Danio rerio: one gene and its partners. The protein of the gene in region 1 purifies or fractionates together with the protein of each later gene. This does not show direct contact. Links are inferred from orthologs where the notes say so. Each region holds a gene or a part of one and is shown in the gene's direction. Other genes may lie near its edges.

The links. Proteins that work in one complex are often made in the same cells at the same time.
Region 2: the proteins of dhx8 (region 1) and crnkl1 purify together in Homo sapiens (affinity purification with mass spectrometry; 3 studies listed by BioGRID and IntAct, counting the BioPlex papers as one, with this or other methods). This does not show direct contact. The link is inferred for Danio rerio from reciprocal best matches to the Homo sapiens genes DHX8 and CRNKL1.
Region 3: the proteins of dhx8 (region 1) and ppie purify together in Homo sapiens (affinity purification with mass spectrometry; 3 studies listed by BioGRID and IntAct, counting the BioPlex papers as one, with this or other methods). This does not show direct contact. The link is inferred for Danio rerio from reciprocal best matches to the Homo sapiens genes DHX8 and PPIE.

What each region holds. Positions count from the first base shown.
Region 1 is NC_133187.1:29,417,911-29,429,296, reverse strand, and holds the end of dhx8 (ATP-dependent RNA helicase DHX8), read left to right. Parts: intron 1-1,690; coding exon 1,691-1,876; intron 1,877-2,060; coding exon 2,061-2,271; intron 2,272-2,355; coding exon 2,356-2,537; intron 2,538-2,663; coding exon 2,664-2,804; intron 2,805-2,890; coding exon 2,891-3,046; intron 3,047-4,511; coding exon 4,512-4,649; intron 4,650-4,765; coding exon 4,766-4,894; intron 4,895-5,298; coding exon 5,299-5,495; intron 5,496-6,773; coding exon 6,774-6,953; intron 6,954-7,042; coding exon 7,043-7,262; 3' UTR 7,263-8,021; downstream 8,022-11,386.
Region 2 is NC_133195.1:52,271,645-52,283,130, forward strand, and holds the start of crnkl1 (crooked neck-like protein 1), read left to right. Parts: upstream 1-4,730; 5' UTR 4,731-4,781; coding exon 4,782-4,829; exon of another isoform or gene 4,830-5,285; coding exon 5,286-5,438; exon of another isoform or gene 5,439-6,142; intron 6,143-6,372; exon of another isoform or gene 6,373-6,404; intron 6,405-8,069; coding exon 8,070-8,161; intron 8,162-8,321; coding exon 8,322-8,480; intron 8,481-10,441; coding exon 10,442-10,608; intron 10,609-11,486. Other genes in the region: cfap61 (cilia- and flagella-associated protein 61), read right to left, coding at 1,657-1,799. UniProt on the Homo sapiens protein: Involved in pre-mRNA splicing process. As a component of the minor spliceosome, involved in the splicing of U12-type introns in pre-mRNAs.
Region 3 is NC_133192.1:26,688,760-26,700,162, reverse strand, and holds ppie (peptidyl-prolyl cis-trans isomerase E), read left to right. Parts: upstream 1-4,166; 5' UTR 4,167-4,182; coding exon 4,183-4,213; intron 4,214-4,430; coding exon 4,431-4,529; intron 4,530-4,627; coding exon 4,628-4,671; intron 4,672-4,873; coding exon 4,874-4,900; intron 4,901-5,008; coding exon 5,009-5,090; intron 5,091-5,680; coding exon 5,681-5,784; intron 5,785-6,508; coding exon 6,509-6,632; intron 6,633-7,121; coding exon 7,122-7,307; intron 7,308-7,393; exon of another isoform or gene 7,394-7,423; coding exon 7,424-7,566; exon of another isoform or gene 7,567-7,578; intron 7,579-8,072; coding exon 8,073-8,141; 3' UTR 8,142-8,167; exon of another isoform or gene 8,168-8,199; 3' UTR 8,200-8,298; downstream 8,299-11,403. Other genes in the region: pabpc4 (polyadenylate-binding protein 4), read left to right, coding at 1,206-1,304. UniProt on the Homo sapiens protein: Involved in pre-mRNA splicing as component of the spliceosome. Combines RNA-binding and PPIase activities.

The sequences.
Region 1 (11,386 bases):
GATTGGTCAAATGATGTTTGATCATCATTTGTCGACGCAGCGCGGGAATGTAAAAAGCATGTCAGGAAGAGTGGGAGAGAGAACCCTTTTTTCTTTGATCTCGTTTTTCGTGTATTTTTCTGACATGATTATGATTTTCGTTGTTTTTGCTTAACTTTCGTTTGGGTAAAATTATTTTGCATTACTTTTGCCCACTTTAAGAAATTTTGTGAGGTTTGTACATTTTTATTTCAATTGATTTGTATATTATTTTTTAGCTCCGCTCCTTCCCGACAATATAGCTGTATCTCCTCAAGTTCAGTCTTAGTGTAAGGTGGATAGGGAAAATGTCATACGATTTCTATTTTGCAAACACGTAGAAAATGTATTGTTAAAGACATCAGGTAAGAGGTGAAGGTTATCTTTGTTTATTTTATTCAGTATATGGAAGAATGCGGCGCACGGCGCTGAAGACCTTTTTTTTCTTTTCATCAGTTTTAGCGAGGTAAGAGGGGTCATTCATGAGTTAGAATTGTTTTATTATATTTATTTCTTTTGTTTGTCTTCACTATCACCCCCTTGCTCGAGTTTAACTAATTTTTGTTTGATACTTTTGTTTGAATTTGTTACTTTATTATATTATTTTTATTAGTGTAAATATTTCTCTTTTTTTGTATATTCAGGCATTATTCTGGTTTTACTTTTGTACATTAAATCACTTTTGTTGGCAGTTCTGTTGCTTACACCCTCACATTGTGAAATTACCACACTTTTTAAATGTTTTTCCTTACAAGTAAGGCTTTGTCTACGACACAAATTCTATTCCTGTACTCAACTGGAAAACCAAAATGTTTCCACACAGATGACTTAAATGTGTCTGGGGGATCTGCAATCTCAGTTCTATGTGAAGCAGCCATCCTGCGTCCAGTAGTAACGAGTGGGATGCTTACTCAAGTCACATGACATGACATGCACTAAAATACTAACTTTAGAATATAATATTTAGAACAAATCCTCATCATTACTAAAACAATTTAATCAAATATGATAATAAAGATGTGTTTAAATTGGTTCAATTAGTTAGAGACAAGTGACGTCAACCTCAACAATGGGCAGCAGGGGGCGTGAGAGTACCGCGGTACGCCACGAGAGTTTCGCGATACGTGTCGTGGTTGGTGTATCGCGATATTTCGGTTCGGTTTTAATATCGTTACACCCCTACTTATTACCCTAACCTGCCTAGTTAACCTACTTAACCTAGTTAAGCCTTTAAATGTCACTTAGGCTGTATAGAAGTATCTTGAAAAAAATCTAGTCAAATATTAGTTACTGTCATGATGGAAAAGATAAAATAAATCAGTTATTAGAAATGAGTCATAAAAATTATTGAGTTTAAAAATGTGTTGAAAAAAATCTTCTCTCCGTTAAACATAAATTGGGGAAAAAAATAAACGGGGATTAATAATTCAGGGGGCTAATAATTCTGACCTCAACTGTACATGCTTGTACCCGTATGCCTAAAATAAAGTGTTCTGTGATCCCTTTTAGAAATATCAATAGCCTTTGCTAGCCAGTTTTCAATGAATAAATTTGGGACAATTCGAATCATTACTCATCCCTAGTTTATACTACAAGTATTTTGACAGTATAGACAACAATTTACAAACATTTCAATATAACGTTCTGAGCATTCATTTTTGTGCCTGCACAGGTTGGCTACACCATCCGTTTTGAGGACTGCACTAGTCCTGAGACAGTCATTAAATACATGACGGACGGTATGCTGTTAAGAGAGTGTCTTATTGACCCTGATCTGGGCCAGTATGCCATCATTATGCTGGATGAGGCCCATGAGAGGACCATCCACACAGACGTGCTCTTCGGCCTTCTCAAGAAGGTACAATTCACATTTTAGACTTTGTTAGTCAGTCTCTATACTGTTCAGAATTCTAAATGTTGGAGTATTGTTTAAAATATTGTTTAAAATACCAACTATTGTTAGTGTTTTTTTAAGGAAATTACTCTTTTACTTTCTTTTATTTTACACTGTCTTGTTTTTCTTTCCTTTTTTGATTATTTAGACTGTACAGAAACGAACTGACATGAAGCTCATTGTGACATCTGCCACACTGGATGCCGTGAAATTCTCACAGTACTTTTATGAAGCACCTATTTTTACAATCCCTGGTCGTACATACCCGGTAGAGGTTTTGTATACAAAAGAACCTGAAACTGACTATCTGGATGCCAGTCTGATCACAGTCATGCAGATTCACCTCACTGAACCTCCAGGTAAGCTTTCAAACACAATTCTACAAAACAAAATTATTAAATTTGAAAAACAGTTCCAATTAATAAAAATTATTCATTGTGCAGGTGATATCTTGGTGTTCCTGACGGGTCAGGAGGAGATTGACACGGCTTGTGAGATCCTTTATGAAAGAATGAAATCTCTCGGTCCTGATGTTCCAGAGCTGATCATTCTCCCAGTCTACTCTGCCCTGCCCAGTGAAATGCAGACCAGGATCTTTGACCCAGCACCACCTGGAAGTAGAAAGGTACCATCTGTTGTTTCTCCTTTCTTTGGTCACCTCAAACATTAATCTAGAATTCCCAGAAAATTTTAATTACATGATTTTAATTCACATTAACAAACCATTCTGCTTTTTCTGTGCTGTTCTTAGGTGGTCATTGCTACCAACATTGCTGAGACCTCTTTGACAATTGATGGGATCTACTATGTGGTGGATCCAGGTTTTGTCAAGCAGAAGGTGTATAACTCTAAAACTGGCATTGATCAGCTAGTGGTGACCCCCATCTCACAGGTATCAGCCACTACAATAAACCCAGTCTACATGCTGTTTTCATCAGAAGGTACTTGACTCCTAAACCTCATGTTTATGGTTCATAGGCTCAAGCTAAGCAGCGAGCAGGTAGAGCTGGAAGAACAGGCCCTGGGAAGTGTTACAGACTCTACACAGAACGTGCCTACAGGGATGAGATGCTCACAACCAATGTACCTGAGATTCAGAGAACCAACTTGGCCAGCACTGTACTTTCTCTCAAGGTATAGTTCCACACAAAAATATTACAGCATGTTACACTATATTTTAACATGGTTTTATTTAGACATTTTAGTATATGTAAGTACTAGGGGTGTCAAAATTAATTGTTTCTTTGGTGCAACTCGGAATCGGTTCAGTAATGGATCATAACAGTTTTGTACTGATGTCATTTACCTCATATGTGCTTTATTGCGATAGCTTACTGTGGTGAGGTGAGCATGAGTAATTAAAACACTTCAACGACTTAAAACGCAGAAACTTTGCACAGTTCACTATGTGTGCATTTGTCTTTCACTCACACTGGAGTGTGTCTTCAGAACCCCGCATCAATCATGCATCATCTACAGCTGCTGTTTATCAGTGTCGCTCATCGGTGAACATCGTTTGAACCAATCGCAGCCCTGGGTGTAAGAACTTGCTCGACAACACTCGAGCTGGATGTTTACATTTGTTTATTTGCTATTAATGCTCATGCTGTTCAAGAGATCGAATTAAACCAAATCGATAGCATAATAATTATAACCAGAACCAAACCGTGAGACCAGTGTAGGTTCACACCTCTAGATATGTACTAAATGTAAGGTTATAACCAATAATACAAAATATTAAGATTTTATACTGTTCATGTAAATAGATCACTAAAATCTATGTGAAATAAATTTAGAGGTTTCCGTCTTGATGCTTACTAAAGGGTATATTTAACAGTGTTTTTTAAATTGATTACATTTTAAATTACATTAACTCCCCTCTTAACCTACAGATCCATTTTTTTCCATTTTCAGTTTATCTTTATTTATTTTCTTTACATTTTCATGAAGGATGTACATGTTTAGGGTACAACAGTTGTCTTTCAGGTCAATTTGTACACCACAAAAACTACTGGCACACACATGCAGACTCCAATACCAAGAATCTCCTGCTTTTTACTATTACTGTCTTGCTAAACTTTTCACACTCATGTAGGTACTTTTAGCATTAAAAATATTCCCTTTACTTCAGAGTTTTGCCCAATGATTAAACATTGATGAAAAATTCCACACTGAAGAGAGCAAACCTAGATATCCACAGGGTTTGTGATGAAAATGAGTTTTTTTTTTCTTCTTTTTTTTAAGATTTGATTTGTGGTCTATACAGAGTTCGAAGACAACAACAGGGTTAAAGAATGATTAAAGATAAACTTTGCTGCATCATAATGCCTAATTGGAGCATTTACACACCTTGCTTACCTTTGAACATTTGTTTCATAACCTGGTGCCCTGCATTTTTAGTCTGGTTCATTTATGCATATAAGTGCAGAATGGCATATGAGTACTGAGAAATGGCTATGCAAATCACATCTGTCTCTTTCTCATTCATCACAATTATTAATGTAATTTGTTTGTTTGCAATCTGAAACATGCTGTAAAAATGACATTGATTAAAACACTTTTTTTATATATTTACATTTTTTCTCTGTCCTCTAATCAGGCTATGGGCATCAATGACCTGTTGTCATTTGACTTTATGGATGCTCCACCTATGGAGACACTCATCACGGCCATGGAGCAGCTGTACACTCTGGGCGCTCTGGATGATGAAGGTCTACTCACACGCCTTGGTCGTAGAGTAAGTGTGCACATTTTCTTTGCTGAAACTTAGGAATGTTCTCTTATCATGGTTTTGGGTGTAGCTGCTCAATCTGCAGAATACAGTATTAAGTTTCTTATCACTGTTCCCATCAGATGGCTGAGTTTCCTCTGGAGCCCATGCTTTGTAAGATGTTGATCATGTCTGTCCATCTTGGCTGCAGTGAAGAGATGCTGACCATTGTGTCAATGCTTTCAGTACAGAATGTCTTCTACAGACCAAAGGTACTATTTTAGCTCACACACAGTTCTAGGTGTAGTGCGCTAAGCACAGTTATGCTGGCTTCATACCAAATGTGAATTCATACCAAACGTGTATGCATGAGTAGATTACATACAAAGTCAATGCAAACACGGGATTAGAAGTGAATTTCTGCAGAGCAGTGCAGATGAGACCAATTTTGCAATGCGTTTGCTGCGATCTCGCATAAATTTGCCTTAATCATGTCTTCTCTGCCATTTAAAAAAAAACATTTAAATTAGTGAGGTGAAAAACATCCCGCAACTGACCTAGAGTAATTGATGTGATTCGAATGCTCTTGTCAGGTTTGTTGTGAACTTGACATTATATCATTACATAGAGTTTAAGGTATCCAAGTAGACTGATCCTAAAATGATTTCAATCTCAGGACAAACAAGCTCTGGCAGACCAGAAGAAGGCCAAGTTTCACCAGCCTGAGGGAGACCACCTGACTTTGTTGGCTGTCTATAACTCCTGGAAGAACAACAAGTTTTCTAACCCCTGGTGTTACGAGAACTTCATTCAAGCCCGATCTCTTCGACGTGCACAGGATATCCGCAAACAGATGCTGGGCATCATGGACAGGTGAGGGGATTGGAACTTTATACAGGCTTGGTTGTGCTTTTTAAAATAAATTGGATTGTGATAGGCTTTTAATATTATAAATATTTTTTTTAGCTTTTAAAAATGCGGCAATTTGCATAATCACAGCCTCTAACATCCTGTCTACACATGACAATGCAGATTAAACCACTTTACATTTTTTAGGTAATTCGTTTTTATAAAAGAATACTTTTATCATACAGAATATGCAAAGTTTTTTAGCATTTATATTGTACTGTGACATGTATTTTAAAGCCACTTAACTAATTGAATTAATGTCAGTGAAGTGAAACATGCTGAGTACTTTCATTACCAAAAATAAAACTAATAAGAAAACGCATTTAATAAGTTTCATTTAAAAACATTATCAAGAGAAGTGATATTAAACTTGACAGAAACCCATGGCCCAAAATAATAAAATGAGATCAGTCTAGAAAACCAGTTATTTTAATTAAACATTAATGAAACCATTTTTTTAAAAAATGAAGGAAAAAATTATTTACGCTTAACCTCACTATTCTTTACAAAAACAGACAAGGATCATTCCCTCCTACTTTGAGAAGCACAATATTTATACACACGTACATCTATTTATTTAACAACACTTATTGTTAATTTTTATTTGCACAAAAAATATAGCTATACTTACATTATTGTATATATTAATACACTGTACACACATTTGTCAAAATTGTGTTTTCCTATTTTTTATTTCTTTATTATCTGTGTCTTTGTCCTGTAACTGTCTTTGTCGCACTGTGTAGACTTCTGTCATTAAAACTAACTAAACTAACTAACTAAAACTCTTTGTGTACACATACCAAGCAGTAAAGCTCTTCCTGATTCTGATTTACCACATATTAATTGTTTAACAACATTGAAAAAAACTTCACAAAATTGGTAATACGTGACCTCAAGAATCTTGGTTTGGAAATCTGAAACTAATCAACTGGCTAAAAGTCACAAAAAAAATAAAGAGACATTTTAAAAGCAACGCCTGCTGCGCATCCAATAACCACTGACAGGTGGCGCCACATATGTTGAGCGTTAGCATTGATCTGAGGAATCAAGGCACAAAAAACAATAGGAAAAACATTGAAACGATTAACAACACAAGCATAATTTAACACCTGCATTGTGGAATTTCTTATCCACAAAGAATTAATACAATTATTAATACATATAATTATAATTCAGAGATCTTAGACTTCAGTTATTTTACGTTTTGTTAATAATTACACATAAAATTTTTGTTTTCAGGCACAAACTGGATGTGGTATCGTGCGGTAAGGCTACTGTGCGTGTACAGAAAGCCATCTGCAGTGGTTTCTTCCGGAATGCAGCCAAAAAGGATCCTCAAGAAGGTTACAGGACCCTCATAGACCAGCAGGTGGTCTACATCCACCCCTCCAGCGCATTGTTCAACCGCCAACCAGAATGGTACGTTTACAAGATGAGATTGTTTCTGTATTAACTACACAGTTAGTATCAATATTGCATGTTTTTCACTATTATTTCCTTCTTCTCAGGGTGGTGTACCATGAGCTTGTGCTAACCACTAAAGAATACATGAGGGAAGTGACCACCATCGATCCAAGATGGCTTGTAGAATTCGCTCCAGCTTTCTTCAAAGTGTCTGATCCCACACGCCTCAGCAAACAGAAGAAGCAGCAGCGCTTGGAGCCTCTCTACAACCGCTACGAGGAACCAAACGCCTGGAGAATCTCCAGAGCCTTCAGACGACGCTAGCGTCTTCTCAGAAGGTCTTCATGAACTGCAAATGTCTGATACTGATGCTGAACAAAATATCAAATTTGTGTTGCTAGCAAAGTGGAGGATAACATGGACAGAAGCTAAAAATGTGTTTAAAAGACTCGAAAATAATGTTCCCTGTTCTTTTGCACCACATGCTTAAATTTATTGTAGTTTTTCCCCTCAAAAATTGAAACTGCCCTTATTTTTTGCTAGGCATTTCATTTTTATATACATCTGTTTTCTGTATGTGCTTCAGTAGGCATTGAGTCTTGGGTACATTTGTGTATGATAATTGGATATTTAGCCTTGTGTTGTAGGCCAAACAGTCCTTTTTTCATAAGTTATCAAGAATATTAGAGCAACTGTTGTCCAGATTCTGTGGACGAGTCATGTGTGTCACAGAATCGGATGACGGCACATCTGTCTGGTCAGTGGATGTTGATTAAAGCGCTGAGAGGGAAAGGATTTTCAATAATTCAGTTTGTTTCTCTGCAGAAGTCTGGTCATAAACAAGTGAACAGGATGTTACGACCACTTTTTTTTATCACACACGAATCACATCCTTATTTGGGACCTCTTTTCTGTTTTAATGTTTGAATTAAACAGCACACAGGATCAGTGTATTGGACCATTGTGAAAATGTTGTATAAAAACTTTTATTACAGGAAGTGATGGGGTGGAAATGTCCTGCAGTTTTTTGCTATCGTTTCTGCTTTTGTTATGTCATACATCTTAAATTAAACTCTCTAGCTGCGTCCCAAATGGCACACTATACACTATGCACTCATGCACTATGTACTTATGCACTTACACACTCAACAGGATAGTATATGTATGAAGTGGTGTCCCAAATGGCACACTAATGTTTTTTTTTACTAAGCGGAAATTCAAACCGTTTCCCTAATGACGTTTGACGGTTGCCAAATCAGTGAAATAAACAACAGAATTATCAAATAATACCTGCCATGAGTATTTCCGCATTCACCATCGGGAGGCGCTATAATCACTCTCGTTGGAGAAATTTGCTTTCACCATCCAAAATAAAGTTATCCAACATGTGCGTCCGATAGCTCCGCCCCTTCCGCTACGTATGCAAACCTGCGGTCGTTGAGTGCGTGAAGTGTCCATCATTACACACTTCATTTTAGCGGCTGAATGAGTGCATCATCCGGGTAATTAAAGTGCACTTATGATTTTTAGAGTTTTCAGTGTGAACACACTACTTACACTGTTTATACTACAAAATGGCGTAGAATAGTGCATAAGTATGCGATTTGGGACGCAGCTTCTGTCTTTTAAAAAGGCCTTCTTGTTTTTGATTTATAGTGAGCTTAAAATATTACATGCGTACTTATCTACATTTAAAATGATAATAATAAAGGGTAGTGTTTTAAAAGTTGTGTCATCTGCTTATCTGGCTGAAAACGAAATTCAGCTCAAAATTAAATCCTGTTTTGTTTGATTAAATGTTTATTTTGCCAAACAATTAATATCCCGAGCCCTACTCAATTCAGTTTTAGTAGAAAATATTTTTAAATATAGGAGTTCTGCAACTAACAACACAATGTATAAACTACACCTTCATTTACTTTTATTAAAAAAAAAAACATTAAAAAATATTTTAGGATAATATTATAATTATTAGGATAAGGTTTCCTCCGGGTGCTCTGTTTTCCCCCACAGTCCAAAGACATGCAGTACAGGTGAATTGGGTAGGCTAAATTGTCCGTAGTGTATGAGTGTGGATGAGTGAGTATGGATGTTTCCCAGAGCTGGAAGGGCGTCCGCTGTGTAAAACATATGCTGGATAAGTTTACGGTTCATTCCGCTGTGGCGACCCCAGCTTAATAAAGGGACTAAACCGAAAAGAAAATGAATGAATATTATCTGAGAACTTCCTTACCTCAGAGCTACTGTATATATGCCGTTTACAGATTATAGACAGTTTAAAGCAATATATTTGCTACTTTTGTACTAATGTATTTGCCTAAAATCACTGTCCATTGAGACAGTCCCCCTTTTCTTAGATGCGTTAAAAATAATGAACACAATCCCCCTTTCACTACGTGATTCATTGTGATGCCTTACTTTACTCCTTACTTAGAAAAGTAATACTGTTAAGTAACTCGCGTTACCCGTAATGCGTTACCCCAACACTAGTCATCAAAATTAAGTAAAAGTCTGCACTGACTTTTTTCTGATTATCAAGGTTTTATATTTGGGCATTATGCACTTCTTATTAAAAGGCTATAAATATTAGGCTGAAAAAATAATAAAATGCTATGTAAAAATAATAACTGAAATGACATGCTGAAACGTGCCTCTTTTTTGCCAGTCAGATGTTTATAGACCTTTTTCACAGCGGAATTGAACACCGGAAGCGCCCTTCGAAGCAGTGTATCGATATTTCCGGGTTCGCTATGAGTCGCAGAGACATGACAGCATCGGGACAGCGGATGACTTTCTCACGGTCAACTTTGCCATAATTTGGACAAGAAGATGTTGTTCGGTGAATGTGTAAAACTGCCTTAATAAAACAGCTTTTAAAAGATGATACCGATTTGCAGAGTTTGTGCAGAAAACGTGTCTTACCGTTTGCGTTTGCAACATCAGGTTCCAGTAAGGTGCACAGCCAACAGCATAAAATCTGCTCATTCAAGCCATTCGTAAGCTAGATTAACCTGGCTATTTAACATCCAGCAGGATGAGTTTAATGTCGGTAGTCCCGTCTGTAAACTGTGCTAACCCCCTCCTTCCTTTTTATTCAGAGTCAGATATAGTGAATGGCGAGGTAAGTTAGCTATACAGGCGAGTTGCTATCGGTTAATACATTACAGGTTGTTTAATACTCGTGAGGTTTTCTCAAGTCTGGAAACACATTAGCTCCTACTCGTGGATAATATTCATTTTTATTATTTATTTAAAGAACAGAAAATAACATTTTACAATACAAAAATGTACATACCAGGGGGTAATTATAAATAAAATACAAATAATCAAAATGTAATATAACATATGTAATAATGAAATACATTGTAGAGTTCACACATTTTAAAGTGGGTCGAGTTTCTTGTTTAGAGAGTTGATACTGGTATTGTACAAGCATATTTCAGTCATCAATACCTTAAAATCTGGTTTCATATTAGTAAATTTATATTTATGAATGTACAATTTTGTTAACAACATAAGCAAATTAAATAAATAAAACTATTTTCCCTCTAGATTAGGATAATCAAGTAAAGTCCAAATGTACATTTATCCATAATGAAAGAGGTTGAACACAAAAGAATCGTTATTAATACATTTTGCAACTCACCCCATAAGCTGACTATGTACAATGCCAAAATAAGTGTAAAACTATCTCCTCATATTCGTTACAAAAATACAATTTACATCAATCCCACTTTTACATTTTTGCAAACAATGTTTTGCTGGATAAAACCTGTGGATAAGTTTATAGGAAATTTCTTTATTTCTATTTCTAACATGATATTTCTGTGGTAACAGCCAAACTTTTCTTCAATTCACCCTTTAATAAAGACATATAATAAAATTGAATATAAGGTACAGTAATGATTTCTTTTTGGAAAAGAGTATGAATAGCTCTATCATTACTCTTGGTATTTAGTAAAACAAAATTTGCCGACATAAGATTTAGTAATATCAAAAGATGAAGCATCAGAAGGATGGTCTTATTAATACCTCTAAATAACATAAATGAATAACATGTCTCTGCAGGAATTGAACCAATAACAGTTGAAAACTTGCTGGGTTTTGTAATATTTTGATTTTGTAATAAAGGACTTCATTGTAAGAAAAGTTTACCATCTTTATTATATAACTGACTAAACAAATAATTTTACTGTCAAACCAATTAAAAAAAAAGAGATTTGCATTTGTATGAACTGTCTATTATTCCAAAATAACAACAATGTAGGGATAAATCATGCTAATAGATTAATGACCATGATGAGCACTTGTTTGTGGAAGGCAGATAGTTTAACTGGAGTTTTGTCTATATTATAATTACTCATCAAAATAAACCATAGACCACCAGTCTTTAATGAAACATGATAATCTCCGCTTTGAAGTGCATACAGCATACGAGCGTACTCCCA
Region 2 (11,486 bases), on another chromosome or scaffold:
ACGATTCATTCATCTTCCTTATTTATCTGGGGTCGCCACTGCGGAATGAACCGCAAACTATTCCAGCATATGTTTTACAGACCAGATGCCCTTCCAGCCGCAACCCAGCACTGGGAAAATCCTGTAATGATCTATATCATATATGGAAATATTTTTAAAAATCCAGTTTATGCAAAACAGTCCAATTATAACTCCCCCCCAAAAAAAAGGAATGAATATTGCAGCATATGTGTATATATATATATATATATATATATGTGTATATATATATATATATATATATATATATATATATATATTCAATTCAAAATAATAATAAAATTATATATATATATATATATATATATATATATATATATATATATATATATATATATATATATATATAATTTTATTATTATTTTAATTAATTACATTTTAATTAAACGTAGCAGACATTAAAGTGATTTTACATATATGTGTAAATTATCTTCTTCAAAGTGGACCTTTTATGCAAAAAATACTATTATAAGGGGTGTAAACACAGTTGTGTGGCAACAGTGCGTAAATATAGCTAATTATTAATTAATTTCATTTTTTATAATCACACTTGATAAAAACAAGTCTGCCGAAACTCTTCAATTGACATTTTCCATATGTGCATGTCATTAGAGGGGGTAAAAGCCCCATCCATTAGTGACAATCTTTACCTCATTAGCATAGTCTTGTTTTTTAATCTGCCACTATGCTGACACGCACGCATTTGTAGCTCCACCCTCTATTGAAAAAAAGCAAATCTCATTTGAATTTAAAGTGAGTGACCAAAATGGCCCAATTAGGATCGGTTTCAAGGCATTATAAAACATTATTTGTGTGGTATTTCGAGCTGAAACTTCACATTCTGAAAAACAATTAATTTTGCAACAATTTATTTGTTGAATTTAAACTAACAAATTAAATTTAGTAATGTTCAGCTTAATTTATTTGTTTAAATTTAACATAAACTAATTGTTTACAACACCTTAATCTAAAAAAAGTAAGTAAATTCGAGGAATCATCTTTGAATAATTTTTTTCAGCGTACACACAATCAGAGACTTAATTTACATCTTGTAAAAAAGGGCATAATAGGTCCCATTGAAGGTTTTAAATAACTATAGAGTCAAAATAAGGTTGAAAAAATAAATTCAGTATCTTTTATCGAATTTTGAAATAACATAATTTACCTAACCTGTAACATTCAATATTATATTTTTAAAAATGTCTTGCTAACAAATGGGTAAAACCTAATGGTTTGAAGTATAGTGGAAAATTATAAAGTTTTAAACTGAGTATTATCAGGCTCCACTGTGATCCTTAAAAAAAACACATGTAATGCAAGAAAATGAAAGCCTACTGAAAAAATAATTTCTTGGATTTACAATTTTTAAGGTAAGTAAGTGGTTGCAAATAATTTCTATGGGCTGAATTTAAACAAATTAAATTTAGTAATGTTTAATTTGTTTAAATTCAGCCTATAAATTATTTGCAACCACTTACCTTAATAAAATTTAGTACCTCTAATCAATAATATTTTCAGTGATTTACTGTTTTGAAGCCTTGTGACCTCTTAAATGTAACCCATATATGTGTTGTAATATTTCCTGGTTTATTAGTTTTCATGACTCTTCTTACTTACAGGAGATTGATGACATTAAGTCTCCCGAACACGGCAACAGATGCCGGACTGATCAGATGATTGATCTCTTCAGCATCTGACCATTCAGTTCTCCTCACGGTCACACTTTCTGCTTTACCAGTGGATGAAGTGATGGTGCTCATTTTCTCTAATACAATGAACATGTGTGATTAGACACAGACATAAATTGTGTTATACAGTTATTACAGTGCTCGAAAGTTTACATACCCCTTGAAGAATCTGTTAAAATGTGAATAATTGTAACAAAATATGAGAGATCATACAAAACGCATGCTATTTTTAGGACCAGACAGAATCTGTGGACATTTTTGCTATTTCTGCAGAGAATTTTGTAAAAAAAAACTGCTGATTTATGCGATTTTGGGAGTATCATAATTAAAAACTTAATATATGAAATAAAAAATTGTAAATGTTAAATATTAATTTTAATATTTAACATTTACAATGCAACTCCAATTTCCAAAATCCACTTATTTAATAAACAAAGCAAGTCTCTTATATAATATATCTACTAAAAGACGGAAAATATTACTTTACAAACTTCATTGTAAATAAATCAAATGAACAATTTTATATTAGTCAATAATATTACTGAAATTAATTTAAAAAGTGAATAAATATAAAATTACACACATTTACACACGTAGACTCAATGATTAACTAAAAATCTGCCGAAATTTTCACATTTCTGCAAGCACAGATTCTGTGTGGGCCTAGTTATTGTTTATTAAGTACTGTCCTGATTAAGCTATTTTGCATAAAATATGTCTATATGTAGTGCACAAAAAAAAAACATAGGTGAAATTTTAAAAAATAACCCCTTGCAAAAGTTTGGTTTGTGGTTTCCTAATGATCTACCAGTGTTTTTTTGTTGTTGATGAGTCTCTTGTTTGTTCTGAGCAGTTCAACTGACTGCTGTTCTTCAAAAAAAAAAAACCCCTCCATGTCCCCTAGATTCTACAGCCTCCTCTGCAGATTTGAGCTCTTTCCAGCAGCGAATCAAAGTAAATTCAAGGTAAATTGCACTTTATTTGTGTTCCAGGAAACATGCAAGTTCAGTGCTCAGCATAATTGAGAACACCCCATTTAGAAAATTTATATTTTTATAATTATAGTTTAAAATTTATATTTATTAAAATATTTAAATAATTATATATTTTAAATTAATATTTATTTTATTTTATCAATATATTTTATTACTTATTAAATAAAAATTTATATTTAAAACTAATATTTATTTTTATTTATTTTATTAATATTTTTGATTTCTTATTGAATATAGGCAATGCATTTTGGTGCATTTAAACAAAACAGATTTATTAAACAGATATATTTATTAATATGATATTTTAGTCACTAAACATATTTAGAAATAGAAAGATAATACAATAAAATCAAGCTAAATTTAGCTAAAGTAAATTACAACCTATAAAATTTCAACAAAATTTTCCTTTTTTGTTTTTGCTTCTCTTGATTTTTCCTCTTTTGAAAAAAAAAATTGTATTTAATATTTTCCTATAAAATTTTTTGGCTTTTCTAGTTTTTGGGCCGTTATTGTAAGTTGTTTTGTTTGATAAGCTCCAGATTTGGCTTCAGTACTGACTAATGTATTTGCACAAATATAATACTGCAGCTTCCTATTAAAAACATGAATATAAAATAAAGATTTTTGAGGAGTGTATGGTACAATACTTATTACAAATTACCATGTATTTTGTATTATGTTGCTACTTTTGTTAAAATTATTCACATTTAACAGATTATATAAGTGGTATGTAAACATTCGAGCACAACTGTAGACGTAATATACAGTTGAAGTCAGTTGAATTATTAGCCCCCTTGTTTATTTTTTCCCTAATTTCTGTTTAACGGAGAGCAGATTTCTTTTCAACACATTTCTAAACATAATAGTTTTTGCTAACTCATTTCTAATAACTGATTTATTTAATTAATCATGATGACAGGTAAATAATATTTTATTAGATAATTTTCAAGATACTACTATACAGCTTAAAGTGACATTTAAAGACTTAATTAGGTTAATTAGGTTAACTAGGCAGGTCAGGGTAATTAGGCAAGTTATTGTGTAATGATCTGTAGACAAAAATATAGCTTCATGGGGCTAATAATATTGACCTTAAATTTTATTTTATTTTTTTATTTATTTTATAAAAACTGCTTTTATTCTAGCCAAAATAAAACAAATAAGACTTTTTCCAGAAGACAAAATATTATCAGACATAATGTGAAAATTTCCTTGCTCTGTTAAACATCATTTGGGAAATATTTAAAAAAGAAAAAAAATCAAAGGGGGCTAATAATTCTGACTTCAATTGTACGTTATATGTTTTTCGTCTGTGTGCACGCACAGACTTATTTTGGTAAACAAATAAATAACAACTCTTTACGGTTATTTCATACACAATAACAAGCAATACATAATTAACAAATTAATAAAAATGGACATTCACTTACATTAAAGATAGGTCGGACTATAAAAAAATCTAACAGTGAGCGAATAAAGTTAAATAACATAACGTTACATGTAACTTTACTTTGAGCCTCGTCACTAACCTTTATAAAAACAAATAAACATTCACACACATTGAAGAAAATTCGGTTTAACAATAAACAGATCTAACAGTAAACAAATAAATAACAAACGTTTAAGGTATTTAATTGAGGTAAGTTAACGTTATTAATGTAAAATGTTGAGTTTTGAACTCAGTCACTAGCCAATAATAGGCAAAAATATTTTAAAACAACAAGCATTCACTTACATTGACAAAAAGTCGATACACAAGCAACATAAAACAATTAAACAGGTATTTTTGGTGTATAACAATAAAAAACTGAGTTTTAACAGCCTCAAACTGCTGACCTTTTATTTATTGATAACGTTAACCGCTAGCAAGCGTCCTGTCACCATGGTGAGATGCTCCGTGACGTAGATGCAGGCAAAGGTCACAGCGCGTCACGGCAGGCGCGACACACACGGCACTGAAACGTCGCTAACCTTACAGGTTTTAGCGGGCTTTCGAAATCTAAAACACAAGAACATACGTCTAATTTATTTTTAATAAAGTGTCAGGAGCGTAATAATCATGGCGTCCACCGCGGCGGGCAAACAGAGAATCCCGAAAGTGGCGAAGGTAAAACCTATATGATGTTTTTGTGAGTTAGCATTAGCATGTAAACAACGTGAAGTCGTGCTGACGTTACTTAATAATTAACTACTGTATATAAATGTGGTTAGTGGAGTTAAGCTTATTTTTTTATAATGTATTTGTGTTTGTGTTCAGGTGAAGAATAAACCCCTGTAAGTTAGCATTAGCATGTAAACAACATGTAGTTCTGCTAACGTTACTTTATAATTAGTTAACTGATGTATAATGTGTATACATGTAATCAGTTGAGTTAAAGGTTGTCTTGCTTTGTAATGGTTTTGTATTAATGCTCATGTGAAGAATAAAGCTGTGAGTTAGCATTAGCTTGTAAACAACGTGAACTTGTGCCACTCTGAAAATAACAACTGTATAATGTATAGAACTATAACCAGATGGGTTAAAGATTGTCTTGTTTTGTAATGGTTTTGTGTTTGTGTTCAGGTGAAGAATAAAGCCCCTGCAGAGGTGCAGATCACCGCCGAGCAGCTGCTCAGAGAGGCCAAAGAGAGAGAGCTCGAGCTGCTGCCACCGCCACCCAAACAGAAGATCACCGATAAAGAAGAGCTCAATGACTACAAACTGAAAAAGAGAAAGGTATGAAATGTTGTATCACCATGTAGTATACCATGGTGTCACTATATGCATATGTCATAAAGTAGTACTAAATTACTGTGCATGTACTGAAAGCTTGGTTCTGTCATGGCATATGCCTCAAAAATATACAGTAGTGTCACAATTGCTTATAGAATGTGCGCAGTGCTATCATGATGTTCAGAAAATATGGTATTGATATGGTGTGTAGATTATAAAAGATGATATCGCTATGGTTTAAATGTATTATTTTATTATGGTAAACCTCTAGAAAACATGGGCATTATCACAGTGCATATTCAGAAAACTCAGAGGATATGCAATGTCTTGTTGGGTTTATAGTTGACCAGAAGACAGTTTATATATGTATATAAAGTGGAAGTCTGCCTGTGTTTTATGGACTGCCGCTGTATGAACATTTCAAGAACGTATAAAGCATCCAGGTGTAACGCTTCTCTTCCTGAAGACGCAAATCACTCAGGCGGACACAGAGAACTGCGTTCTGCGTTGTTTATTCTGTAACAGAAATATACATCCTCTGGCAACAGTATGCATTTAAACATGCATCGCCTTTCTGCATTCAGCAACCATTTTCTGCTGTGTTGCCACAAAGTCATTTTAACAAAACATTATTTATTTACAAAAGGTTAACATACCTGTAACAGAAATATACATCATCTGGCAACAGTATGCATTTAAACATGCATCTAAAAAAACCAAACAAATAGTAAGAAATCACCCTTGCACATATTAATGTCATCATTCCAGCTACACCTAGCATGAGCAAATTAAACCACACAAAGTTTGTCACACACGGCAATCACTCGACAGATTTGATCTAAAACATCACTTAATGTTCATATTGGGCTTGTATGTGTTATTAATATGTGTTAAAATACAAAATTTGTCACATTTAGCTGGAGCACATTTTACCTACCGCCTTTCTGCATTCTGCAACCATTTTCTGCTGTAGGCGGGGTTTTGCAGGTGAAAGGTGAAAGAAACAATTACACACTGTTGCCACAAGAGGTCTCTCAACAGCCACAAAATAAACAAAATAACCCATTTTGGTGAAAGACAATTAAACATTATTTTAACCCTGTTACACAGGCACAAGAAATTAGACCATTTGTACCTTTAATAAAGATACATTTTTAAAATAATTTTTACAATAAAGAAGATGCAGTGTTTTATTTACATTTGATTTTTTTGCAATTCCTGTACCTGTTTGCTGTTTGACAAATTCATAAAGTAACAATACTTGTAATTTTTTGTTATTTTTTTATGCATGATTCAATCCTTTATTGCAATCAGTCTGAATTAATAAACACTTCCCAAATAGAGTTAAGGCATCTGATGGACCTATATTCATTTTGCATTATTTATCACAGAAAAACAAAATATGTCAATGTTTGATTTATTTTTCAATATCTTGCACCCCTAATGTTCATGCTTTGAATATGCTATGTCAACAAGGTACATCTGGTCACAACATGATGTTACCAGTGTAAAGGTTTTGTCAATTTGATGTTTCGCATTTGATGTTCGTTTCTATAAAACTCCTAGTATACATGTACTAAACTCAATAACACATGGTATTATTGTGATACATACTTTAAAAGCTTCATATACATAGTGCATCTGCAGAAAATATGTCATCAGTATATTATGTGTCAAAAAGAATAAAATTATATTAATATCTTAAAGTTAAAATGCCACTGTCAGTGGTATATAATTAGGGGTGCACCGATATGGGTTTTTTAGTGTATATCGATAACTAATAACTCTTCAGACTTGGAGGCTGATAGTCGATATATATAGGTCGATAATTATAAATGTTTAAAAATGTTATATTTTTAAACTTAATAAAAGATTGAACTGCTCTTATGAACTGAAAAGTCTACTCAAACCAAAAAAGCTATAATTTCAAAATTGCAAGGTGGTTATATAGACCTATATTCACGATTTCACATAAATCAGCATGCAAGAAAATTAATTATTTCCTTTTCTTCATAGCAAATTAACATGCAACTTCACTGTTGCATAAAAATAATAGGTTAAATAACAAAACAGGATTTAATCAACAAGCAAGTTAAATATATTTAAATAAGATGAAAATGAAAGAGCTAACAACTGAAACCAGCTCAATTGTTCTTGAATAAAACGTGTTACATTGATGTACATATGTACAAATATGTAATGTTCGAAAAAAAAAAAAACTTTTCTAAGGGTGTTTTGACAGTTCAGAGTTACCGTACAAGCAAAAAGTTGAGTACAGGTTGTATTACTTTAGAAAATGCGGCATAGATTCATCCTATTTAGCGTTTTAGATTCTTTTGAACACGTATAGCTGTAGTGCTTGTCAATCAGACAATGCTTCTGTGTTCGTTCTTGCTGTCAATTGCGGGAAAAATGATCATGAAAAGTTTATGATAAACCGCTGTGAGTTGAACTAAACGTAATTTATCGGCCTAATTTAGACATCGGATCGATAACGATAATCTTAAAAATAGCATTTATCGGCCGATAACCATATGGCTGCCGATATATTATGTGTCCCTTTACATATTATTCAAAAAGTTCTCAGTTAAATGAATATTTTGCTTCTCTACATTTTCTTTTCTTGTAATACAGGGCTTTGAGGACAACATCAGGAAAAACAGAACTGTGATCAGCAACTGGATCAAGTACGCACAATGGGAGGAGAGCCTGCAGGAGGTCCAGAGGTGAGGTTCCTCTCTTAAATAAAATTCTTATTTAATTTCAGGAACTGTGAAGTTTGTTTTTTGGTCTTCAGGATGAATAATCAATTGTGTGAAATTAATTGATTAATTTGTTGCTGACATGGCATTATTTAAAACTATTTGATGATGATGTTGTCTTTAGATCTCGCTCCATCTACGAGCGTGCACTCGACGTGGATCACCGCAATATCACACTGTGGCTGAAGTATGCCGAGATGGAGATGAAGAACCGGCAGGTCAATCACGCTCGCAACATATGGGACCGAGCCATTACCATCCTGCCCCGCGTCAATCAGTTCTGGTATGCTTTATCTCAAAATACTAATACTTTTAGACAATTGCCTGGTATTATAATTCTTTTTGGCCAGTTGGATCAAATAAATAAGGGAGACAGATTCCCATTTAGATGCATCTACAGTTGAAGTCAGAATTATTTGCCCCCCTTAATTATTAGCCCCCCTGTTTATTTTTTTTCCCCAATTTCCTTTTAATGGAGAGAATGTACATTTCTAAACATTATAGTTTTAATAACTCATCTTTAATAACTGATTTATTTTATCTTTGCCATGATGACAGTAAATAATATTTTACTAGATATTTTTTAAGACAGGTTAACTTGACAGGTTATTGTAATTAGGCAAATTATTTTATAACGATGGTTTCTTCTGTAGACAGTCGAAAAAAAATGCTTAAAGGGGCTAATAATTTTGACCCTAAAATGGTTCATAATAAATTTAAAACCGCTTTTGTTCTAGCTGAAATAAAACAAATAAGACTTTCTCCAGAAGAAAAAATATTATCAGGCATACTCTGAAAATTTCCTTACTATGTTGAACATCATTTGGGAACTATAAAAAAAAGGAAAAAAAAAAAACAAATCAAAGGGGGGGGGGGGGGGGGGTAATAATTCTGACTTCAACAGTTTTTTTCCACTTTTAAACACTTTTAACAGCTTTTTTGATGAGGAAGGGTGGATGTCTAGGTTTTTTCTGAACCTTTTTGTTTTTTGTTTAATATTGTTAATTAAACTTGTGCAGTTTACATAGTTGCAGTCACAAATGCTCTTTCAAACTCCTTTTTGGTCAAGATTGTTCGTGTTAAATATAATGAGAAGATGTTAAAGCAGTTAAATCAATTTAATATTCTTTAAGAATTGAAAAATGAAAGTAAAAAATAAATTAAAAGTTCCTAATGTAGCATTTATACATTAATATACAATCAAGCCTAAAATTATTACCCTTTGCAAATTCTGACTAAAATTTTTCGGTTCAAATGTAAAGAAAAGCTGAGATTTTATTTTTTGCGCAAGGACGCCTCTTGTACATCGTCATATTGTCTTTTGGGAGAAGCCTGTCTCATTTCTGGTAAAAAAGAAAAAGAAAAAAAAAACTTGCTGGTTGAATAAAAGTAACCATGTCAGAATTTCCCTGTGGTATGAATCATTTTGAACTTGACTACATAACTGTCTACATTTTCTGATAAACTGAAAGATCTTATGTGACCATGTGTTATCATATTATGTATTGTTGTCATCTGTATGTGTGCATTATTTTTAAATAATTTATAAGGAAACTGTTTTGTTTGATAATTATGTTTTGAATGTTTTGAGCCAATGTTTCTGATATGCCTTTAAAACATAAAAAATAAGCTGTCTACAATTAAAAACAGTTAGCAAATATTTAAGAACATCGAAATTAATAAAATATCCCATTACACAAATCAAATTATTATTTTCTTGCAAAATTTACACCTGCATTTAGGCTGGTCAACTTCTAATTGGATCAACAAAACTTAATCTTAAAGACATAGTTCACCCAAACAATTAAAATTCTGTCAGGATTTGCTCATTTTTCAGTTGTTCCAAACCTATTTAAGTTTCTTTCGTCCATTGAACACAAAAGAAGACATACTGAGAAACGTTGGAGACCTGCAACCATTGACTTCCAGATCCTTTGTTTTCCCTACTAAGAAGGTCAAGGGTTACAGGTTTGCAACATTCTTTAAAATAACTTCTTTTGTGTTCAACTGATCAAACCTCAAATTGGTTTGGAACAAGTCAAGGGGGAGTAAATGATGACAAATTTACATTTTTGTGTGAGCAATCCCTTTAATAACAAGTGTAAACAGGCCAAAGGTTATATTTCTGTTTGAATCCTTGATGTGTGTTTTCTTTCTTTTAAAAGACATTTTAGATCAAATCATCTTCTAAATAAATGCATGTCATTTCTGAATGATTGTTTTATTTATATGTTTGTGCCACAGGTACAAGTACACGTATATGGAGGAGATGCTGGGCAACATTGCAGGCTGCAGGCAGGTGTTTGAGCGCTGGATGGAGTGGGAACCGGAGGAGCAGGCCTGGCATTCATACATCAACTTTGAGCTGCGCTATAAGGAGGTGGACAAGGCCCGCAGCATCTATGAGAATTATATCCTTTCATGAATAATTCATTTCACTTCGAAAATATAGCATACAGTTGAAGTCAAAATTATTAGCGACTGTTAGCAGTAGGGTTGTAACAATATACCGGTATGACGGTTTACCACGATTTGAACGTGCACGATTATCATACCATGAACAATTGCATATCAACGGTTTTAACCCTTAAAGACCGAGACAGCCGCCCGCGGCTAAAAATAAGTATTGCTCTTAAATGTTTAATAACTTTTGATCCGCTGATCCGATTCATAAAATTCAAAGATTGGCATAAAGAAGAGAATCTCAGCTTTCCAGTGCTGTATCACATAACATTCGCGGACTTTCAGAGGCTCCGGAATCAGTGCGGTTACGTCATCAAAATTTGACCACGCTGATTTGACAAAGAAACGCTCGTCACTGTGTCTCCGGACAAACCAGACACGATACATTGATGCATTGTCCCTCCTCCATGCCCAGATTGGTTCAAACTCGCTATATCACAACCAATAAGCATAGGTTTCGCTTTAGTTTGTGGACCAAGCTTTTTGAACAACACGGAATGAGAGATAGGCATACATTTATGCGTGGCTAAATAAAACGCAAAAAAAAAAAAAAGTTTTGCATGAAAAAATTCTCATACTAAGTACTTTTGCATGCACAGCAGCACAGAAACATGACAAAACAGTGACACAGCAAAGACGAACTGCTGCTCTTGCTGTTTTCAAAAGACGCAAATGAAGGTGCAGCTGTTAGTCTGCATTGCAGACAACCAAATCCGAATCCATATCCACAGACAACCATATCCATGCTGGCACATAAAACCTAAGGATGTTCCATATTGAATCTAGTTTCGTTATGTAACTATTTATAGTATAGTAAATATTTATT
Region 3 (11,403 bases), on another chromosome or scaffold:
ACCTCGTAAAAACGTGATTAAAACTTTTTAATGCCTTTTAAGGGCCTTCATTTTATCATAATTGATTGATCAACTCTTTAACTCTTTAATACTTTTTAAGACCCCACGGGCACCCTGTTTAAGAACCCTCATGTTGTTACAATCCCGTAAGATATCAATATATTAACGACCCAGAGAGATTTCTGTTTCCCCATTGGGTTTCTTCAAGTCAACCAAATACACTCATGTAATTCCATTCTTTTAGATTTGCCTTCATTAGTTTTTGATTTCAGTAGTGCCATAAACCACGAGTCTTCAAACGCATGATTTTACAACATGTTTTTAAACATAATAGTTTAACTAATTTCTAATAACTACTTTTTTATCATTCCCATGATGACAGTTATAGTGCATAATATTTTACTAGTTATTTTGCAAGATAGTTGTATTCAGACAAAGTCCCTTTGAGTATTTTACAGTCTTTAAGTCAGATTAAAGTGTAATTTAAAGACTTTTGTAAACTAGGAAAGTTGGAATAATTAGTCAAGTTATTGTATAACTGGTTTATTGTATAGACAATCAAAAATATACAGTAAATACTTCTTAAGGAGGCTAATAATACTGACCTTAAATGTGTTTTTTTTTATTAAAAACTGCTTTTATTCAATAAATAAACTATAAGAAATAAGACTTATTATGACTCCAGAAGAATTATTTTTGTTTTATGTGAAATACGGTGATAACTTACTTGTCAAATAAATGAACGTGGAAGATTATGAGTTTAACTTATTTAATTAGCTTGTTTATGAAGACTGCAGAGTGATGCATGAAACATTAGACTTTGAATAATTGTTTAGTAGTTTGTGATTCATGTTAAAGTGTGCCCCCTAAAAGAACAAGTGGCCCCTGCCCACCCCCCTAAGTTACGGTGGTCTAGAACCGCCACTGATAAGAATAAACCCCTAAAAGTAATCAAATACCCCCTACCTCCATTATCTCTCAGCTTTCAGCATTCCTTTGCAAACCCAATTCTGCACCTTCAAAACCAGTGCCAGGAGCATTCTGAGGCCAGGCTACACACTGCGCTCGAACGGCTCTCTCTCCTGTCAAGGGGGATAACGCGAGTTAGGGTTTTATTTCCAGCTCAGAGACATCACTGTAATTCATTTGATGGTCTGCAAGTGTGAACTCATGAACAGATCTCAGTGATTATTTGTGTTTTTCAGGTGGAGGAGGCTGTCGCTGTGCTTCAGGCTCATCAGGCCAAGAAAGACGCAACACAGAAAGTGGGAGTCACTGCTGCCACTGCAGCCGCAACATCCTGACCAGTAACGTTCCTCACTATTAATCATTATTATTAGTGTCCAGGCTGTTTCTGGCCGTGGTTAAAATGATTCAGAAAATTTGCTTTAATTTAAATTTGTTTTCCACAGGGTGAAGCTGAACAGCTGAAGAGAGATCACCACTGTCTGGTGTTGTCTGGTGGCAACCAATAGAAACAGAAAACAGAAAATATATATATATAAAAAAAGAGAAAAATACAAAACAATACTTGAACATAAAGAAAACCGTTTTGTTGCAGGGCTTATATTGTTAACTCTGTAATGATTTTTATCACCTGAAGTTGATTTTCAGAAGAGGTCTTTCTGTGAGGAAAGAGCCTCTGTCTTGTAGCCAGGACTGATTTTTTTTCCTGAGGAAGTGCTGACGTGCTTCTTCTGTGAGCTGTGAGTTTGCTGCTTTGATTGGACCTCACTTGTCCCATGACAGTAACTTGAGTGGTGTGGCACTCTAAATAAAGGGATAACTATTTAAAATGAACTTATTTTCTGTGCGTTTCTTTTTTTTATATACATTTAGCCAAGACTAGAAGGCCATTTTTGGTGACAATAATTTTATTTTATTTTTTTATCAAAAATGACCACATGGACAGTTCATTCATATACAGGTTAAATATTCTGCTTAATTGGCCAATGCTGACATAAATATTAATAATATCCTATTTTACTTTTAGCTGATACTAATCACATGACCGGAGCCAATAGGTGTATTCGACTTAAACCACGGCTGCAGTCGGTGATCAAGAAGATTAGCCGAGCGCAGTTGAAAACGGAGCTGTCAAGCCAGACACTTCGGTGCTCAAAGTCGTGGCAGTTATGATAACCGATCACATGGCGTCATCATCATCATTTATTTTTAACAACAAAAGATTTACAGTAAAAATAAAAGAGAATACAGTCTCTACAAACTATAGTTCATTTTTAAACAATAAGGGATTTATGAGTTAATTTTAAGTAGCCTATACAACATTCATTCATTTTTTTTTCGGCTTAGTCCCTTTATTAAACTTATGCAGGATATGTTTTACTTAGCGGATGCCTTTCCAGCTGCAACCCATCTCTGGAAAACATCTATACACACTCATACACTATACGGACAATTTAGCCTACCCAATTCACCTGTACCGCATGTGGGGGAAATCAGAGCACCCAGAGGAAACCCAAGCGAATGCGGGGAGAACATGCAAACTCCACACCGAAACGCCAACTGACTGTTATGAAATTTGTGAGATGAAATTTGTCTAATAATAAACCCAAATCACATGTCGTTGTTGTCCTGCGGTGAATCCAGCCGATCGTGTAATATCGGTGTTGTCATCGCAGCTCCTGCAGTCGCTCTTCAGATACGCCACCGGCTGATTCAATCAACTGATCTCTGAGCGCTGTCGTGGTATTTTGATGCCACATGTGACAGTCATGCACAGTGTCAAGCCATACTAAATTTCTAACCGGCCAAAGAAATGCGCTATAGGTGAATTGAATAAACTAAATTGACTGTAGTGTATAAGTGTGAATGAGTGTTTTCCAGCACTGGGTTGCAGCTGGAAGGGCATCCACTGCGTAAAACATATGCTGGATAAGTTGGGGGTTCATTCACCTGTGGCGACCCCTAATTAATAATGGGGCGAAGCTGAAGAGAAAATTAATGAATGAAAAGCTGTTTTTACCTTATTTTGTGAATATGACGCTTATGTCTCTGATGCTCACACAGTGTGATGTACTCTGAAATACAAATGTGCAAAATAATCATTAAGTCGTCAAAAACAATATTTAAACAAATTTAGTAGAGAGCTTGTCAAATTACAAGTTGAGAAGAAGAGGTCCGCATTAGGAGCAAGTGATGATCTATCTGTCCATTACTGCTCCCGAGTTAGGCATAAATGGGCATTAAATGCTAATTCAATAGTTTACATGTGTCTGTTGCCTCATTACAAACATAAACAGCAAAGTGAATATAATTTACACTAAACCAACAAAAGATACAGTTCAACAGCAGATTAAACATATTCTATTTTTCCTGAATTTTATGTTTAGACAAGCTGTAAATAGATACTATCTAAAGCAGGTCGCACACCAGAAACTGCTCAGTGCCACGCATTTCAGAATTCTAAACAGAAGTTTCTATCAGGGTCTGTAGCGATCAAATATTCCTGAGGTAACTGTCAGTGTTATTCTCTGATTTGCTTATTTTTCTGTTTTTTTTTTTTTTTTTTACCCTGGATTTACATGAGAATGAGGTGTTTGAGGCTCACACAGTATGTTATTTCCATGCATTAAACTTATTATTAGGCCTATTCAATTATGCATATGTATATCCAGATTTTCTTTCAATGGCAACTTTAGTAATATCACAATAGAAACTTTATAAATCATGATAGTACTATTTAATTAACTGATTCACAAAAATGCAGTACCTTTGCGTTAAATATTGGACTGCTTTTCATGCCAATTCACAATAGTGATTAAATAATTAAACTCTTTTTTTATTTGTGATAGAAATGTACGTGTTGCATTAGTACAAGCAGAAAGCACAATTTAAAAATGTATATTTTAATTACAACTATGCACAAATATACATAACTGATATGTACATCACATTCAACCTATTTGCATTCATTAGTCTGTTTAAAAGACGGTTGTTAGAAGTGTGGGCAGCACAAATACAGGGAGAACATTCAAACTCCAAACTGACCCAGCTAAGGCTCAAACCAGCGACCTTTTTTCTCCACTGTGGCGCCCCCGAAGTACATAATGAATCCAGAGTGTCAAAATGTCAATCAGATTTTACTCCAGTTCACCAGAGGGCGACATACCAAACCTCAGTGGTGAAGAACACAGCCTGAAGTCAAAGGTTACACGCAAGATGGCGGCCAGCAAACGTGTTCTTTATGTTGGTAAGAAAACATAAAATTTATTAATTTAACTAACAAACGTTTTGCTCGTTCAGTTGGCTAGTTTAATCCTCTAGCCTCGTACATTTTTATCGACGCAGTACACGTTTTTAGTTGTATCCGGGAAAGCAGCAATTCATGAAATATGAGCAAGAGTTGAGCGCTCAGTCCGTTTAAAGTGACATATCGCACTAAGTGAAACGTTATTATTATTTTCTAGGTGGTCTTGCAGAGGAGGTGGATGAGAAAGTGCTGCACGCTGCGTTTATTCCTTTCGGTGACATTACAGATATTCAGATCCCGTTAGATTATGAGACAGGTGACAAATACACAGAAGTTACATTTACTTTACAACTTTACCATGTGAACGTACGACCGATTTTTACTACCACTTTAACATCCTGTCTTTACCAACAGAGAAACACAGAGGCTTTGCTTTTATCGAGTTCGAGCTGGCAGAGGTGAATATCATATACATCTACACTGAATTAAGTTAAAATAACGCGAAATGTGCATCATCAAAGTGACATTAACTTTGATGCTTTTTATGATTCACTTATTCAAACAGTGTTGCTACTTTATACACTGTACTGTTGTTTCTCTGCATTAGAAGCTTTGGTATCAATTTGTCACTTAATTAAAGTTCTGTCTTTTCCCCTCTAGGATTCAGCAGCTGCTATTGATAACATGGTGAGTTCATCGAATTTGAATTTACTGAATTCTGTGGATTTATAAAGTTCAACACTATCAGGATGTGCAGAGTGGAGGTTTTTATGCATTTGGTAATGTGTTTTTCAGAACGAGTCTGAGCTGTTTGGCAGAACCATCAGGGTGAACATCGCCAAACCCATGAGAATTAAAGAGGGCTCCTCTCGCCCAGGTGATGGAAAATTGATTGTGGTTGATTTTTCTGTTTAATGTCTTGACACATACTCACTGCCAACTTCTGATTTGTACTTTATAAATATATGCTGTTTACACCCATACCTAAAGCTGAGTTCATAAGAATATATATAAACAAAACTAAGCTAAAAGGTATTGATGCTGTAAACAAAAACATCAGAAAACATCTGTTACAATGATATAGCTCATTAAAATGTAGTTTGCTTTCAAATTTTCAGTTAAATTACATATAAGTTTGAATTATAAAAAGCAGGCTCTTTAGTGTTTTTGTCTTTACTCGTAGCAGTATGTGTTATTACTATTATTATACAGTTATTATTCTAAATAACAAATCAATCCTAAAAATGACTGGAAAACATGCAACAACTTGAGTGATATGCTAAGATGAAATGCTAAGATAACATCATCTTGTGTGCTTTCACCATCGTTGTTTCGGTTGAACAGAGAATAACAAACTTGCACGTGCAAAAGATGTCAAAAGTGAATGGCCCCTAACACCTTTATTCTGGGATTGCCACTCTAAATTAATACACTTGCATAAAGTAAATTATGCTGTTCTGCCTATAGTGTGGTCTGACGATGACTGGCTGAAGAAGTTCTCGGGGAAGAAAGCAGAGGAGAGTGAAGAGGCCGAGTCAGCTGCAGAATCAGCAAGTACAGAGACACAAGAGGTCCGAAAGTTACAGTATTGGTTTATTTATTTATTTTTTGGATGGTAAATAAAATAATAGTAATAACTTAACATTGTCATTTTGATTTTACTGTTTATATATGTATTTTTTTCAAAGTCTAATGCTCCATTTTAAATTAGTTTTATCATTATTACTCTATGATTAAGGTTGTCTGCGGGGTCTTAAAGTATTAAAAGTTGGTAAATTAATGTAGAGAAATTTAAGGCCCTTAAAAGTTATTAAATATTCTTAATTGCTGTTTTGCAAGGTATTACATTTTTTAATAATAATATATTTTATATTATTGTTGATTATGCAATGTATGGTTGTATGCCAAAGTTTGCCTGAATTAAATCTGCAAATATCAGGATGCTGTGTAGTTTATGAAATCCTACTAGATTTGACATCATGCAATTTTGTTTACTGCAGTAACCAAGACAACACCATTATTTCTGCAATTCTATTGGCGTCAATCTGCTGTATTAGATAAAATTAATTTTTATTCAGTATATGAATAGTGTTTTAGTTTTAGATTAGTTTCTTACATTAATATTCAGTAAATATTCTATAAGTTAAAATCTCGCCAGTGTTTCCAGTTGAAACCTAAAGTGGTTTCAAGGCCTTAAAATGTATTGAAAGAGTCTTAAAAAGGTCTTAAAAGGTGTTGAATTGCCCTCTGATGCCTGTAAATACTCTCTGATTGGCATTTTATGTTCCTGAACAGGGAGAACCTCCAGCAAAAAAAGGCAGAACCAATCCTCAAGTCTATATGGATATCAAGATTGGCAACAAACCTGCAGGCCGACTGCGCTTCCTTCTGCGAGCTGATGTTGTGCCTATGACTGCAGGTCAGACATATTTAACCATCTCCTGCGTGTGCTTAAAGTCAGCATGGAATAAAAATTCACCAAATTTTTTATATGTATATATTCATGGTGAACCTATTCTAGCTAAAGTAAAAATGCTAGAAAGTTGTCCATGGTGATTCATATAATGCAAATCTATTTATAAATGCAATGCCTTGAGAGCAGCAACAGCACTTACAAATCAACATAATGACATCTACTTTGCCTGTATAATAGAAATATAAAAATAATATATATATATATATATATATATATATATATATATATATATATATATATATATATATATATACACACATGATATTTTTTTAACTGACATTTTATGAATCATTAAGGACCACCATTTTAGTTGTCATCTGTGATGACCAAAGAGGGAGGAAAATAACAGCATTATCCTTTTAAACTCGGTCCTACTTCTATCCCATCAACATTGTAAAAACCTTTTGGCTTGATTTGTTTGTTCTTCTTCAGAAAATTTCCGTTGTTTGTGCACACATGAGAAAGGCTTTGGATTCAAGGGCAGCAGCTTCCACAGAATCATCCCTCAGTTTATGTGCCAGGGTGGAGATTTCACCAACCACAATGGCACTGGGGGGAAATCCATATATGGACGCAAGTTTGAAGACGAGAACTTTGTCCTGAAGCACACCCATGCAGGTGAGTTTAAAAGAACTGTTATGATTATATTATTGTTCACTGCAACAGTCTTAGAATAATCAGCAAGTATGATTGTTGATAGTCACCTGAAATCTGGTCTTTGACTGTGCTCGTAGGTCAGCTTTCGATGGCCAATTCTGGTCCCAATACTAACGGTTCACAGTTCTTCATCACTGTTGATAAGACAGACTGGCTGGATGGCAAACATGTGGTGTTCGGAGAGCTCACAGAGGGCATGGATGTGCTCCGGGCCATGGAGGTGCGTTTCTGACTGGAGAATAGATTTGTAATCAATGTTGACAAAAGTTAGTGGTTAAAGGATTTTTAAATGTTTTGTAATTAGTCTCTAATACTTACCAAGACTACATGTTGTGATTAAACACAAATAATGCATTTATTTTTATGATGGTAAAGCCAGTCTTTAGTGTTGCAAGATCATTCAGAAACCATTTTAATATGCTGATTTGCTGCTTAATAATTTTTCATTAGCTTTGCTGCTTAATATTTTGTGGGAACTGATTCATTTTGAATTTAAAGTCAAAAGAGCACTTTTTATTTGACATTAATTTATTTAAAAAAATTATAATCTTAATAATTTTGTAGCATTATAAATATATTTATTGCCAATTCTGATTTGTTGAAACCTTGCTTTTTTGAAAGTTTTAATTGCCTTTTAGGAAATTCAGACTACATAGTTTGCATTTAATATATTCAAGTTACATTTTGCCCTGTTTCTGATGGCTTTGTATTTGTGCTGTTTCTCAGGCTCAGGGAACAAAAGATGGCAAACCCAAACAGAAGGTCATCATCTCCAACTGTGGAGAGTATGTTTGAGATCAACGTTGTGTGTGTGTGTGTGTGTGTGTGTGTGTGTGTGTGTGTGTGTGTGAGAGTGTGTAAGTGTGTAAGTGAGAGAATGTAAAGAAAAGCTGTTGACATGTTTTTTGTTGTACTTTGTAAATATCTAAATAAATCTTTTTTTTTTTTTAAATACATATCTTTATTTTTGTGCTAAATGGTTGCCATGTTATTCGTTTGTAATTTCAATACTTTTGTTAATTTCTTTTCTTTACAAAACAGTTGTTGAACGGGAAAGTTTATTTTAGTAATATATGAGCAATTCCAGCATTTTGGATGTGACATTTGCAGTAAAAACTCCTAACATAAATTCACAAAGTATGTTAACATTATATTGAAACATCCGTTTATATTTTCCAAAACAACTTACCACAGAGTTATGGGATGAGAAAAATATCAATTTGTAAACATTTTTTTAACTTTAAAATGAGGAAAATAAGCATGCATTATGATTGTGACCAAAATAACTATGAGTTTACAGTACTCAATATACTTTGTAGAAATTCCATGACTTAATCTGCACAACCCAAAAGAAATAATGTCAATCAAAAGGATGAGTCGGCTCTTTAAAAAAAAAAAACGACTTTATTTTAATTTAATTTATTTGACATTTTTGCTTTTACGAGGAAAACGCTTCGTTATGAATGTGACGTGAAATTGACACTTGTGTGATTTTGGTAAAGCCTACACACAAAGTAATAAACCATTTAATTAATCAATTTAATAAATAATTAAACATACATTTGTTAAATAACAATTGAGCATCGGCTTTTGAAGAGGATGCAAATTGAATGAGTGTTGTTCAATAGTTTTAGGACATCTTTGATGAAATGTTCTGATTCGCGTCATTTGTTGGCTCCTGTAGTTCTCAAGGAAGCTTTACTTAAAGTTGCCATATGAATGCTTTGTTTAAATTGTTCTCTAAAATTTACAAGGTATGTGTCTTATAAATGCAAAATATATCTAGAGAGGCTTAACAAGCCCATTTAGAGCCATATGAATGGTCTCTAGAATTAAAAGCATTTTTACCTTATTTGGAAGGGCTGTGGATATTAAAGAGCTCTGCTTTCATAGTTTAATGCACTCTTAAATAACACGTGCAAAATAATTATGCACAAGTTATCAAAAATATTTTAACAAATTGTCAAATGACAATGGTTGAAGTGGAAAAGTTTGACATTGGGAATAAGTTGACCTGTTCATAACTGTTCCAGAGTTGTGCTGCAGATAAAATATGGGCTTAATTATACACAACTAAAGTGTTTCGAAATTAAATAATTGTATGTGTTTGTTGCCTTGTTACTAATGTAACGTTACAGTTGTAACTTAGCCTATTCCATAGACAGCCTCATACACGTGTCTGAAACAAACGGACAGTTTCACAATATACACTTTAAACTAACAAAAGACAGAATACAACAGACCTTATGCCTCATCCGGGTGGCGCAGAATAACTCCCAATCCGTCTTTCCCGAATTTAGCTTTATGACCACGAGCTGTCACAAACCCAACACAAGATGCTGCAGGTGATGTAGCTAACCGTCCTGTTTTCAGAATAAGAGTCCTACTAACATAGGTGGGAAATATAAGCTGTGTGAACCTTTATAATAATAAAATAAAACATTTTATTTTAATACCTAACACTCCTGGGTACATGTATATTGATATTAAAGATTCTGCGAGTATCACGGAGTTTTGTTTGAATTGGCCTGTTTTACAACGGGAATTGACACTATGGAACATAATGCATTACTGATTCATCCTCTAGATGGCGGCATTGCTCCAGAAAACCACGTTGGGTGTGACGTGACTACACAAGTCACGTCACATCCAACAGAGCAGATACAAAAAAGCAAAAGAAAGGCAATTTTATTAAGGTGATTTAATCTTTCCACAAGTATGCTTGTTGTTTTTATGTTAGCATAGTCGATGAGATTAAGGATCTGAGCTTTTAACATGCTGCACGTTTGTTCAGCCTACATAAGGGATTACTTTTCTTTCAGTTCACCTGCATGAGTAAAGCTCTCTAAAAAGTGAAACCAATGAATTGTATGTTCTAATATCTCAGACTCCTTTTTTGTTCAAAAAAGAAAGAAAAAGTGACAGATAAAATGATGAACGAGGAAAACAAAAGATCTTTTATTGTAAACACATAAACATTAGTTTAACATTAAATAAAATTCTAAATCTAAAGAAAGCCATCAAGCCATTTGTTTTAAAGCATAAAAGCTTTATGCACATCAGCAACCAGCAAACAAACACCAACCACTCATATGAGACTGCTTGCCCAGCATCCCAGCGAAACGGCATCCCAATCAATTGAATGTCTGAAGAGTATTTTAGTTATCAGACTTTAAAATAAAAAAAAATAGGTCTAAACTAAAACAAAATGTTCCCATTGAAACTGAAAGGGAACCAACCATAGCAAAGTTGAAGGGGATGTACGGGACGGTGCTGCCTGTGTCCAGCTTTGTTAAAAGTGATTAAAGCACATGGGGTTGATTCAAACATATTAAGTAAGCAAAATATTCACATTCAAGTTCAAAATCATACCAACATTCATGCTCATAATCAAATTCCCTTAAGTTTAATTCAACAGAATTACACTAAAGACACTAAAATCCACAACCATTATTCCTTTCCAGAAATGTCTTGGGCAATACTGAAGCAATTATATCTTAGTCAAATCTGAATATCACAGGGCGTCTACACACAATGCAACATCCAAGTTACACAATGATGCCTCATTACATGCTATAGACACAATATGAATGGTTTAAATTGTAGTGTCTGCCTCACTTTGATGGGTTCAGCTGAAATTCATTATGTGGATCAAAACGACAACAAAAATATTTCTATCTGCAGATAATAAAAATTTGATGTCCACAAAATAAATGTTTCTCAGGGATAGTTCACCCCAAAATTAAACAATTTACTCGCCACTCGCTATTTCAGAGTTGCTGAACATGTTTGATTTGATTTCTTCTGTTAAACACAAAAGAAGATGTTTTGAGGAATGTTGCAAATCGGTCACCAGTGGCTGACATAGTAGGAAAAAACAAATACTATGTAAGTCAATGGCTACTGGTTTCCATCATTCATCAAAATATCTTCTTTAGTGTTCAATATAAGACACTCAAACTGATTTGTGATGAGATAATAGTGAGCACATGATAGAATTTTAATTTTTGGGTGAGCTATCTCTTTAACTGTGGACCACAGCATGTTAACTTCTGAA